3 linked regions of the Chlamydomonas reinhardtii genome follow. Each later gene encodes a partner of the first gene's protein in a complex. Links are inferred from orthologs where the notes say so. Each region holds a gene or a part of one and is shown on either strand. Other genes may lie near its edges.

The links.
Region 2: CHLRE_12g498100v5 (region 1) and CHLRE_16g676314v5 share a complex: the UniProt entries of both Arabidopsis thaliana proteins name them as parts of the eukaryotic translation initiation factor 3 (eIF-3) complex. The link is inferred for Chlamydomonas reinhardtii from reciprocal best matches to the Arabidopsis thaliana genes EIF3E and TIF3H1.
Region 3: CHLRE_12g498100v5 (region 1) and CHLRE_12g515650v5 share a complex: the UniProt entries of both Arabidopsis thaliana proteins name them as parts of the eukaryotic translation initiation factor 3 (eIF-3) complex. The link is inferred for Chlamydomonas reinhardtii from reciprocal best matches to the Arabidopsis thaliana genes EIF3E and EIF3K.

The regions. Positions count from the first base shown.
Region 1 is NC_057015.1:3,278,719-3,282,461, forward strand, and holds the start of CHLRE_12g498100v5 (uncharacterized protein), read left to right. Parts: upstream 1-1,300; 5' UTR 1,301-1,377; coding exon 1,378-1,533; intron 1,534-1,692; coding exon 1,693-2,823; 3' UTR 2,824-3,743. Other genes in the region: CHLRE_12g498150v5 (uncharacterized protein), read right to left, coding at 101-268, 534-662, 956-999. UniProt on the Arabidopsis thaliana protein: Component of the eukaryotic translation initiation factor 3 (eIF-3) complex, which is involved in protein synthesis of a specialized repertoire of mRNAs and, together with other initiation factors, stimulates binding of mRNA and methionyl-tRNAi to the 40S ribosome.
Region 2 is NC_057019.1:3,507,717-3,511,459, reverse strand, and holds CHLRE_16g676314v5 (uncharacterized protein), read right to left. Parts: upstream 2,646-3,743; 5' UTR 2,550-2,645; coding exon 2,370-2,549; intron 2,208-2,369; coding exon 2,098-2,207; intron 1,665-2,097; coding exon 962-1,664; 3' UTR 343-961; downstream 1-342. Other genes in the region: CHLRE_16g675958v5 (uncharacterized protein), read left to right, coding at 3,024-3,064, 3,140-3,365. UniProt on the Arabidopsis thaliana protein: Component of the eukaryotic translation initiation factor 3 (eIF-3) complex, which is involved in protein synthesis of a specialized repertoire of mRNAs and, together with other initiation factors, stimulates binding of mRNA and methionyl-tRNAi to the 40S ribosome.
Region 3 is NC_057015.1:3,875,615-3,879,357, reverse strand, and holds the start of CHLRE_12g515650v5 (uncharacterized protein), read left to right. Parts: upstream 1-1,315; 5' UTR 1,316-1,343; coding exon 1,344-1,421; intron 1,422-1,533; coding exon 1,534-1,710; intron 1,711-1,904; coding exon 1,905-2,013; intron 2,014-2,175; coding exon 2,176-2,300; intron 2,301-2,580; coding exon 2,581-2,657; intron 2,658-3,060; coding exon 3,061-3,154; 3' UTR 3,155-3,743. Other genes in the region: CHLRE_12g515700v5 (uncharacterized protein), read right to left, coding at 1-124, 309-954. UniProt on the Arabidopsis thaliana protein: Component of the eukaryotic translation initiation factor 3 (eIF-3) complex, which is involved in protein synthesis of a specialized repertoire of mRNAs and, together with other initiation factors, stimulates binding of mRNA and methionyl-tRNAi to the 40S ribosome.

The sequences.
Region 1 (3,743 bases):
AGAGTGCAGACTGCCCCCCTATACCAGTCCTTGGCCATCAAGGTTACCGTACCGCAAGCCCCCGTAACCCTGCGAGTGTCCGAACCGACATGAGCCCCACCTGGGCAAAGCCACCAGCGCTGTGACCTCGGGCGCCTTGCCCTTGCGGTGGGTGCGCACCGGCTCCCCGCTGACCATGTCCCAGCACCTCAGCGAACCATCTTCGCAGCCCGCCGCCACCAGCGGGCGACCACCGACGCTCTCAGGCGGCAACGCCACACATGTCACTCTGCACGACAGGCCCGCGGCAGGGACACGCTTGCGAGCAAGTCCTGAGCGGCATGTTGGGGTTCCACTACAGTGGCTGTTCGCTATGCCAGGGCCAGGACGTTGCTGGCACGTGAGGACATGCGCCACCAGATGTGTGCGAAGGCCGCGTCGCGGCTTCAGCAACACGCAGGCCGAGCGCAGGCAGCAAATTGCATGTGCTGCCCGCAATCATCCCGACCCACCCGCTGCCCACCCACTACCTTGCAACCCAAGGCTGTGCGCACCTGCTCCCGCCCGTGGGCAGCATGCGCTGCACGGTGCGGCTCTGCGCGCAGGCCACCACCACCGCGTAGTGGCCGCCATACGCCACCAGCTGCTGGCTCGGCAGCACCGCCACCACCTGGCTGCTGAACCTGTGGGCATGTGAGGCGCATCAGTGACCTTACCAATGGGTGTGATGTGGTCTGACATGTAGGGGCTACGAGCTATGTGGCATAGCGCGGCGCAATCGGCGGTTGACAGTGCGTGCGGCTGTGACCCCGGCCCCTGCTTCCGGAATGCGGGTTTGCGGCCCGTGGGCGCACTGGCTTGAACAGGCCTGACACTCTAGCCCTTGCACCACTTGCAAAACGCATCAAGAGTACAGGAGCAGCGAACGGCGTGGGCAAAGCACGGACGCTGGCTCCCGACTCCCGACTCCGCCTACCAGTTGGGGGAGGGCGGCAGGACCACCGCCGACGGAGCCGCCATTGTCTCGTGATTGGCTGCGCTGTTTCTGGGCTCCCGCAACCCTCACCAGAGTCGCGTAGGCAAGCGCAGAGAAACGCAAGAGTGTGGCGATAGAGATCACGTCATTTCCCTACAGAGAAAGGGAAATGTGCCGATGCCCTATCTATACATACACCTAACCTCTTATGTATTAGTTCGGAGTCCGAAAGCCCGTTTTGAGCGGGCCAGGCCGATGGGCACTCGGACCCCCATCCGGCACAGCGCGAGAGCGGGCTGCGCACCGGGGCGTAGATCGCCCGTTCCTTTGTCATTCCCGCAGCCCCCACCCCATAATTGTTTCACAGCGGACTGGTCAGGCCTTAGGACTAGGCAAGGGGCGTAGCCGCCGCCGAGAGAAAGATGGCTGCCACCAACTATGAGCTTTCTTCCAAGCTGGTCCAGTATCTGGACCTGCACCTTACGCTGCCTATTATGGAATACCTCCAAGAGCGCGGCCTTTACAATGAGGACGACATCCTGCGCGCCAAGCTGGCGCTGCTGGACAAGACGAACATGGTACGCGCTTAGTGTTTAGATCTGGAGACCTGGCACTTGGAATGAGCTATTGGACAGGCTGGGGATGCCGGAAGCGGGAAGGGCAGCTCAGCGAGTGCAGAGGCCATCGGCCTTTCCAGTTTGAGTCCGGGTCGCTGAGCGAAAAATTCGATGTTGTAGGTGGATTTTGCGATGGATATCTACAAGGGCCTAAACGGCGTGGACGAGGTGCCTGCGGAGATGAAGGACCGCCGCAGCCAGGTGGTGGCGCGTCTTCGCCAGCTGCAGGCGGACGTGGACCCCATTATCAAGTGTCTGCAGAACAGGCATGTGGTGGAGAAGTTCCGTCAGGATAAGAGCTTCAACCTGCAGTTCCTCCAGGAGGAGTTCCAGATTGGCGCGGAGCACGTCGAGGCGCTGTATCAGTACGCGCGCTTCCAGTTCAACTGCGGTAACTACTCGCTGGCGGCGGAGCTGCTGCAGTCTTACCGCACGCTCTGCACCAACAGCGAGCGCAACATCAGCGCACTGTGGGGCAAGCTCGCTGCGGAGATCCTCATGCACGAGGCGGTGAACATCCAGGAGGCACGGGAGGACGTGTTCAAGCTGAAGGAGGTCATCGACAACCAGACGTTCGCCCCCCCGCTGGTGCAGCTGCAGCAGCGCACCTGGCTGCTGCACTGGTCCCTGTACGTCTTCTGGAACCATGAGAACGGCCGCAACGACATCATTGACCTGTTCCTCTCCCCAGCCTACATCTCCGCCATCCAGATCAACGCGCCGCACCTGCTGCGCTACGTGGCGGTGGCTGTGGTCATCAACAAGAAGAAGCAGCGCAGCGTGCTGAAGGAGCTCATCCGCGCCATCCAGCAGGAGTCGTACGAGTACTCGGACCCAGTGACCCAGTTCCTGGAGTGCGTGTTCGTGCACTACGACTTCGACGGCGCCCAGCAGAAGCTGAAGGAGTGCGAGGCGGTGCTGGACAACGATTTCTTCCTGGCGGCCTACAAGGACGAGTTCATTGAGAACGCGCGCCTGTTCATCTTCGAGACGTACTGCCGGATACACCAGTCCATCTCCATTGCGCTGCTGGCGGAGCGGCTGGGCATGGACCAGGAGGCGGCGGAGAAGTGGATTGCCAACCTCATCCTCAACGCCAAGCTGAACGCCAAGATTGACTCCAAGTCGGGGACGGTGGTGATGGGCACGCAGTCGCAGTCCGTGCACGAGCAGCTGGTGGACAAGGCCAAGATGCTGTCCGTGCGCACCTACGTGCTGGCCAACACCGTGGTGGGCAGCGTCAAGCCGTAAGGCACCGCGGCGAGCAGCAGCCGGGGGAGGAGGAGCAGCAAGCAGGTGGGAGTTGGAGCCATGGCGGCGGGCGGGATGGGGTTGGCGGGGGCGCGGGGATGCATGTGGGCCAGGGGGTCGTCTGGGGCTTGGTATTGGCGGGAATGGGGTGGAATAGAAAGGCAAGCTCTGGAGGTGAAGAGTGCTGGATTCCTAAGGGATTGGTAGATGGGGTAGCAATTGCATTGGGCAGACGGCTGCTAGGCCCAGTTCCAGCGGTGCTCCGCACGCGGCATGGCAAGGAAGGGGACCCGCGGCCTGGTAACGGACGTGCAACAATTCGCCGGTTGATACGGAAGAAGCCCTGGGAACTGCGAAGAGGTTCGAAAGGTTGACGTGACGAGGAATCACTTTACCTCAAGCTCTGATCGCCATCCATCATTCCCTTTTGCCTTGTAGATTGCGGGCTTGCTTGTGGACGACAGCGGTGTGCAGGGCGCGGTCTGCCGCTTCGGCAGGCGATTCACGACAGCAGCGAGCTTTGAGTTACGGGATTCCGTTGCGGGATGGGCAGCTTTCTACAGCAGCAAGCGTGGGAGCGCTGGCGACGGCTGCTGCACGGATCAGACCAGGAGCGCTGGGCGGAGGGCGCGGCAGCGGGTGTGGGACAGCGCTGGCGAGCGGCGTTCGAAGGTGCTGATGAGATGAGCAGTGACGTAGACGGGCGACAGCGGCTTTGCAATACAGTGAAGGGCGGTAGGAGCGCGGCGGCTGGAATTTGCAGCAGCTGCACGATTATCCCATGGGCGGGGCGCAAGGGCATGCTTGTTCAGCGACGTGAGACGGGGGGGTCGCCCCCTTGGCAGTGTGTTCGCGCGCGCCAGCAGCAGCGCGTGCCGGGGGGCTGTGCAGCCGCGGCTGGCACGGACTCGGCAACGCTT
Region 2 (3,743 bases), on another chromosome or scaffold:
TTCTACCCCCCCCCTGATTTAAAGGCCGTTTGAAGTGTGGGGTGTGCCTGCGCGATTCTCACCCCTCCCCCCTTGGTTTAGTTCAGGCTAATACCTACAAATCCAATACAAGCAGAAATGGCGTCGGCGCATTGCTCAAAGCCGGCGGCTTTGCCTGCAATGACAGTTGCACTGTGGGGCTGCGCAGGCTGGCGAAGGAGCCGTCAGGGGTGCCACTGGGAGGCGCAGTCCCATGTTCCCGTATTAAGCCACGCACACCGACCTCCCATACCCACCCCACGCATCGCAGTCATGAACGGAGGGCACCACACTTAACATATCTGAGCACGAGAACGCGCGAAGATGCCGTTACGCTTACATACCGACAAGGCAGAGCCTGCCGCGTAGGGAATGTGGGCTGTCTTACTTGTACGTGCGCCCATGTTCGCCCTCGCGAGGAGAGTCAACCGTCACGGACCTTGCCGCGGGTTGCACACAGCGACACCTCACAACTTGCACTCCTGCAGTCCTCCTACAATGTCTGATCGTGTACTGGTTACGTCCACCCTCTTAGAGCAACAACACTCTGCACTCGTCATGTCTGCCTATGCGCCGCTAGCTGGCGCGCTCAAAACAGCGCAAGCTGTGTGTGCTTCAACGCGGCCATACCACAAACGCCCCACCCAATCCCATCCCGCCCTTTGTCCCTCAAACTGAGCACCTAATAACTAATGCCACTGGTAGGTGTGCTCGGTAGAGCAGTTGCACCAGACAGCGCCTTCCGCCTTCAAACCACTACAGTCCCACAGCACACACTACGCGCTTCATGTTTGGCCCCTGCAAGCACAGCCTCTGCGACAGCACCCATCATAAGCGGTGCCATCCTCCTGCATCCCGTGTCTGCATCCCGTGGTCATGGGTCTGTACAGCCGAGCCCGCAGCCCCAGCAAGCGCCTGCTCTTCCGCTCGCAGGTCCTCGAGCTTACAACCCCGCCTTCTGCATGCCCTCCATCAGGAACAGCTTTTGAATGGTCTCGCCCGCCGCCACGTTGACCTGGTCGCAGTAGGTGGCGATCTGGTTGGTCACCAGGTAGTTATCCAGCATGGATGGCTCGGGAATGGGCTTGAACAGATTTGGGTCCTCCTCCGGCAGCGGCTCCTGGTTGTCAGCCTGCCGCTGCTGGTTCTCCTGCCGCCGCTTGGCCAGCCACACCGCGTACGCCTGCTGCTGGCGCGCCACGTTCTTGTGGTACATGGTCACCTTCTGCTGCTCCGCCACAATGTCGTCCACGCACTCCAGCAACGACTGGATGTTGCGCTCCAGGAAGGGGGCCGAGGACAGGTTGAGTCGCTCCACGTCCGCCTGGGTCGCGGTGGGGGCGGGCATCAGGTCCGCCACCAGCGCCTGCACCAGGTTGCTGTTGCGGATGCGGATGGGCAGCTCCACGAAGATATCACGCCACGACAGGTTGGCCTCGCGAAAGCCCTTGAGCGTCAGCTTCTGCTCCTTGCTCAGCTCAATGAACGACTCCTTGAGGCGGATCGCCTTGAGCGCGATGCTGCCGCGCGATGAGCGCTGGGGGTCATAGATGATGCACACGCACTTTTTGATGTTCTCGTGGTAGTTGATGAACGTCTCTATGAGCTCCACGGTTTGGAAGGTGCCCATGTTGGCCGACTGGTACCTGTGGGGTGCGGCCCGGCAGGTGCACGGTTCGTAGGCAAGCGCATGGTGCGCAGTCGGGTCCAGCCCTGAAGATGCTCGGCGGCTGCTACCCCGAGGTTCTGCTTGCGGTACTGTCGCGGGTGGCTGATGGCCATGTCGCCCCCAGGCCAGTCTCGAGCCCCGCCAACGGCCGAACGGGCCTCGTGTCCGCAGGCAAGGACTCTGACAGGCGGTTCATACACGGTGGTTGCCGCAGCTAGCGTGCCGCTCATGTAGTGCGCACATGCCCTTGTCCGCTGATGTCCCGGCGGCTAGCATGAGTGCTACGGTACCGTCCCGCCTTGGGGCGCTTCCCAAGGGCGCTTCCCCACGTCAACTCCCCCTCCTCTGCTTTTGCACCTGACTCCTTCCCTCTCCTTTCCCCCGCGAGCTCGCGCATTGACTGCACCCACCAGCCGACGGTGTTGTTGTCCACGTTCACCTCACGCAGGCAGCGCATCATCTCCAGCTGGTAGTTGGCGCCGGCCGACTCTGCCTCGGAGTCATCGTCCGCCACGGTAGCCTGCACACACCCGGCCCACACCATCGCCGATCTTTATTGTGCATATGCATATGCTGATACACGCGACTTTCCCCTGCTATGCGTGCTCGACAACGCGAGCAATCTGGGGGCCGCCCAAAAGTCCGCTTGGCGCCCTCAGCGCCTGCTATCCTCAGCGCTCACCGGGAACGCGAAGCAGTCCGTCACCTCCAGCTGTTGACCAACATCCAGGCCCAGCAGCTGGCCGGTAACGTTCTGGGGCAGCGCCTCAGTGCAATGCTGGATAATCTTCAGCAGCACCTGACCCTCAAGCTGCACCGTCTTCACGAGCTCCTTATGCGGCTTAGGAGCGATGGCCTCCATTTTTCAGCGCCTCTGCAATAAACCAGCGGCCTAAGTCGGCGGCGCCGTGCCTATAAGCAAAGCCTGTTTTTCAAAAGCTAAACACAAGAGTAAACGATACGACTACACGATGTCTACAGTGATCAGGGTGTGTTTGGCTGCAATGCGGGGCCCGATCGCACTTCCATTTGCAATGCAATTTCTCTCAGACCTGAAATGTCAGTTTGCTGCTGTACTTTTCGCGCTTGTACCTTCGTGCTTATGCTGAACAACAACGAGTAGCATCACCTGTGTTTCGAACTAGGATCGTCGCAACAGTCGCCAAAAGCTTGCGCGTTGACGAGGGCGGCTAGGCCTCAAAGTATACTTGGCAGTATGGCGCGCTTGCGCGCGAGCTTGCTGATGGCAGCGCTGCTCGGAAGCGCTGTAGCCCTCGTAGCATCGGAGCGAGTCTTGCTGGGCAGCGACCATAAATTCAAGCCCGGAAGTGACATCATGCTGTATGCAAACAAAGTCGGACCCTTTCAAAACCCGACGTGAGTAGTTTTGCTGCAGCCAGCGGTGCCAGCTCGCGCGCCAACGCGGCGCGATTTTCGCTCCTTGCCTTGCAGGGAAACGTACCAGTATTACAACTTGCCGTTCTGCCAGCCCACTGACGGCAAGGAGTATAAGACGGAATTCCTAGGCGAGGTGCTTGAGGGCGACCGGTTGGTGACAACTCCCTACAAGCTGCAGTTCCGCACCGATGTTGAGAACGCGGTGCTCTGCAAACGCACGCTCACTGCTGGTGACTTAAAGAAGTTCAGGGATGCCGTGAAGCAGGACTACTACTTCCAGGTGCGGCGGGTTGACACGACTGGGACCAGCGGGTGTGCGGGCGCGTGTACCCCAGGACGTGTCCGTCCCGGCCCGGTGCACGCTGCCAGCAACTCCCGGCCTGTACTCGTCGCTGACACCCCATGCGCCGGTCAACACCTCTATTGCGTGTTTGCCCTCATTCGCAGTTTGCCCGCATGTTGGGTTACCGTGTGCATGTTGGGCCTTGCCACCCTGCACACCTGCCCCGCAACCTGTCGCACATACCAGAAGAGGATAGTTCCTGGTGCGCGCCAAAGCACAACAGCGGCTTGACCCGTCATATGCCCCGTCTACCCCAAGAAGTTGCCTTTAGGTTCTCTTTGCGTGCTCCTGTGCGTGCTCCTGTGCGTGCTCCTG
Region 3 (3,743 bases), about 600 kb from region 1:
GTGGAAGCGGAGGAGGAGCCCTCGGGCGCGGGCTCGTGTGTGTAGGCGGGCGGCCGCAGCCCCAGCACCACCAGCAGCGCCTCAGCCTGGCGCGGTAGCACGAGGCACTCCTCGTACGGCAGGCCTGGGCGCGGGGCAGTCCGGCAGCGGGTGGGCGTTGGGGAGAGATGAGAGTGAGGAGGACGGACGGCGCGCAGGGCGCAGGAAAGGGTGACAAGGGTGCAGGAACGGGCTTCGCAGTAGTGGAGAGTAGAACGCTGCTGGCAGCACCTGATGGCGAGCAAGCGCAAGGGCGCAGACCCACTCACTCCGTATGGTAATGCTCTCCTCCTCTCCATCCTCCTGGGATGATGATTTCACGGCAGCTTTGCGTCTGGATACGCGCTTCTTGGGCGCCTGCAGTTCCCCATCAGGAGCCGCCGCCGCTTCCGGGCCCCCCTCTGCAACTGTCTCGGCTGCTACCTTAGTGCGACGCGTGCGCGTAACTTTTGGCTTTGCTGCAGCTGCGCTATCACCTCCAACCTCTGCTACTCCGGATGCTGAAGCAGCGGCCTCTTCGCCCGGCTCGGCAGCCTGCGCCTTGCGGCACGAGGCACGCTTCTTGGGCACAGCCGCTGCCGCCTCGGCGTCGTCCTCACTCGGCCCAGACGAGGGGTCCAGCCCTGCCTCAGTCGCGCTGTCAGTGGCAGCGGTCTTGCGGCTAGCCCGCTTCTTTGCCACTGGTACATCATCGCTGCTGCCGCTGGGCACGGCGGCGGCCGCGGAGGTTGCCCGGCGAGTGCGTTTGGGCTTGGGCGGCTCGCCGCTGGCACCGTCTACCGCTGGCAGGGCGCTGTCGCTATCAGCGGCAGACGAGGCAGCGGGGAAGCTGCGGAATCTGGGGATAGGTGCTATTGCAGACCACCTGTTGAAGGTCTGCAGCAGCGGCAGCGCCTGCCGCAACCGGAGGAGCATTGTGGAAGGTGACAGGACGCGAAGGGCGGGGCTGGCGCACGACGCTCCTCTTGATCGCTCGAGCGCCCGGCCCCTGCAGAGCCGCTCAAGGCGCGACAGTCTCTCCTAAAGCACGCGATAATTGTGGGGTTCGCGGCGTGTTCGGAGCAGGGAGAGAGCTTGGCGAGCTGTCGAGACGCGCGCTATGCAAGAAATCAGTTTCCCAGTGCGTGTATACAGCTTTACGTTCGTAGCTCATGCAGTATCGTTGCACTTCACAGACTAGAGAGTGGATTCTACCGCTTCGGAGCCCCATCATCGGCCATCGCAGCGTCGCATCCCAGGGTGAGCATCCACTTGTCTTGGTTTTCTTTTACGTTGACACTTCCTTTCTTTACATACCAGTTAAAATGTCTCTTATCGTGACTGGTGCTGATCGTTACTCGCCGGACAAGCTGCCACAGCTTGAGGCGTATGTTGATGAGCAGGTAGATCTGTATTTCTTAGCAGCCCGTTTAGTCCCCTGGCCCCTTGGTGCCAGCACGGCGACACATGCTCGGCGGCGGCAATTTGCGCTGAAAGCGTCCTGCACTGCTGCAGGTCGCGAACCGCTCATGGAGCCTGGATGCTAATGTTACGCTGCTGCGCTTCTACCAGTTCAGCCCGGCCAGCGTGAAGCCTGCCATTGTCGCTAAGGTGCTTATCAAGGCGATCATGCAGGCGCCCGCGCAGGACTACAAATGCTGCATCACGCTGCTTCCAGAGCGCCTGCTGCAGGTGTGCGAAGTGCAGTGGAATGGCGTTTAAAGCGTCAGGGCCTGGGGGAGGGGGTGGGTGGGGTGGGTTAGGGGCCGCACCGTGGGGTGCCGCCCAAGACACGCGGGGAATGCTGTGGCACCTTCATGGCTGTTTCCACACCTCTCCTGTTCCACTATTGCTCCATCCGTTGCACGAACCCTGCATTGCTGCAGTCTGACGAGTCGGTGTACAAGGTGGTGCAGCTCGCAAACGCGCTGGAGACCAGCCGCTTCGGCGACTTCTGGAACGCGGCCAACACCTGCCGCGACCTGCTGGGCGGCAGTAAGTGCAGCGCACGGGGACCTGGCTGGAGTGGGAGCCACTCAGCTAGGACGCAGGGGTTTTTAAAGGCAACGGATGCGGAATCAGAGGCAACAGAGGCGCCCCGATTGCCACACGTCACGAATGCCAATTAAACCAGCTCTATCTGCTGCTCTGCTGCAGTCCCCGGCTTCTACGAGTCGGTGCGCGGCTTCATCGCGCACACGCTGGTGCACACCTACGGCCGCGTGACCAAGCGCACGCTGGCGGACTGCCTAAAGCTGGAGGGCGCCACGCTGGAGCAGTACGTGAGTGATGCATTGCGCTTACGAGTTTCTTATGGGGGGGCGTGGTGGCGGCAGTGTCTCCGTGTGCGTTTACATGTGAATGGTGCGCAGTAAGCAGGGCTGGGTTGGGTAGAAAGGCGTTGAGGAGCGTCGCTTGAGGACGTGAGCGAAAGGGTTAAGCTGTGTGCATACGGCGGGGTGGGAGATTGTGACGCCGGCTTGAAGGTCCCTTCGCCAGTGCGCCTCATCAGCTAGCATCAGGGTAAAAACGCGCCTGCTGGCTGCTTGCTTCTGACCACAGCTGTCTGAAAAGTGCAAGTCGGCTGGCTGGAGCATTGTCAACACGCCCGCTGGCGAGGTGGTGGGGCTCCCCAAGAAGTGAGTACAGGCGCAGAATTCTGGACTGGCCTGCGGAGGGGGCGGGGTCTGCTGGCATTGCTAGGATGAGGGGCCGGGAAGCGGGGCACGCGGGCACACCGTGGGCGCACGCAGAGCTGAAACAGCTGATCGAACATGGTAACATGTTTGGTGCCTCCTGTGCCACATGGCATGATAGCGCCGCGACATCCCATGTCCACCTGCCCACCTCCAATCCTGCCGCACCTGTACTCTGGAAATGCACACCCCGCAAACAACCTCTCCTCCTCCATCAACACTCACCTACATATCGTGCTTATCTAGTATCAGATTGTCCTAAAAACTGGGGTTGTACCCCAAGTGCTACAAGCTCACGCCATTCATGGCCCTCCTGCCCTGTATTACGCCCGCGTTCTGCCCGCAGCGACGACAACCAGTCGGTCGTGAAGCGCACCCAGGAGCTCATCCGCTTCGACCAGGTGGCGCCCATGCTCAAGGCCGTGACCGTGGGCTTTTAAATCAACGCTACTACTGAAATTACTTGACGACACGACCATGACAGCATGACACACAACCATTACTGTCAGACTCTTCTAGGCATTAGATAGAAGACCGTTGGATCCCGGTATGCCCATCGGGTTGTAGACTTGAGTGCGTGAAGGGCATTCGTTGAGAAGCCGTGCCCCGCCTTGGGGCGGTCCGCACACGCATGCGAAGGCATCGCAGAAGGCGTTACTGTACTGACTTTGTTCGGCGGTATGGCACCCCATTACAAAGGAGGCTAGCTGGAATAGTACACGGCGCTTATGTAGCCAGCTGCTGGTGGCGTGTAGCGAGCTTAACGGGAGCCATCGCCTTGGCCAAGCCACGACAGCAGCCCCTTGACGGTGCTGCCTAGGTTCTCCGCAGCGGCGACGCTTGCACTGCGCGAGCCACCGCCGCTGCCCCCCGCGCCAGGGCCGCTGGCACCGCCAGACTCGCTGCCGCCTGTAGGAGCCGAGCCGCCGGTGCCGGGGCGCGGCGCGCCTGCGGACGGGATGTTGCTGCCGCTGCTTCGCTGCGGGCTGTTGTGCGCCGGCTGCCCAGTGACGCTGCGCCACAGGCGCT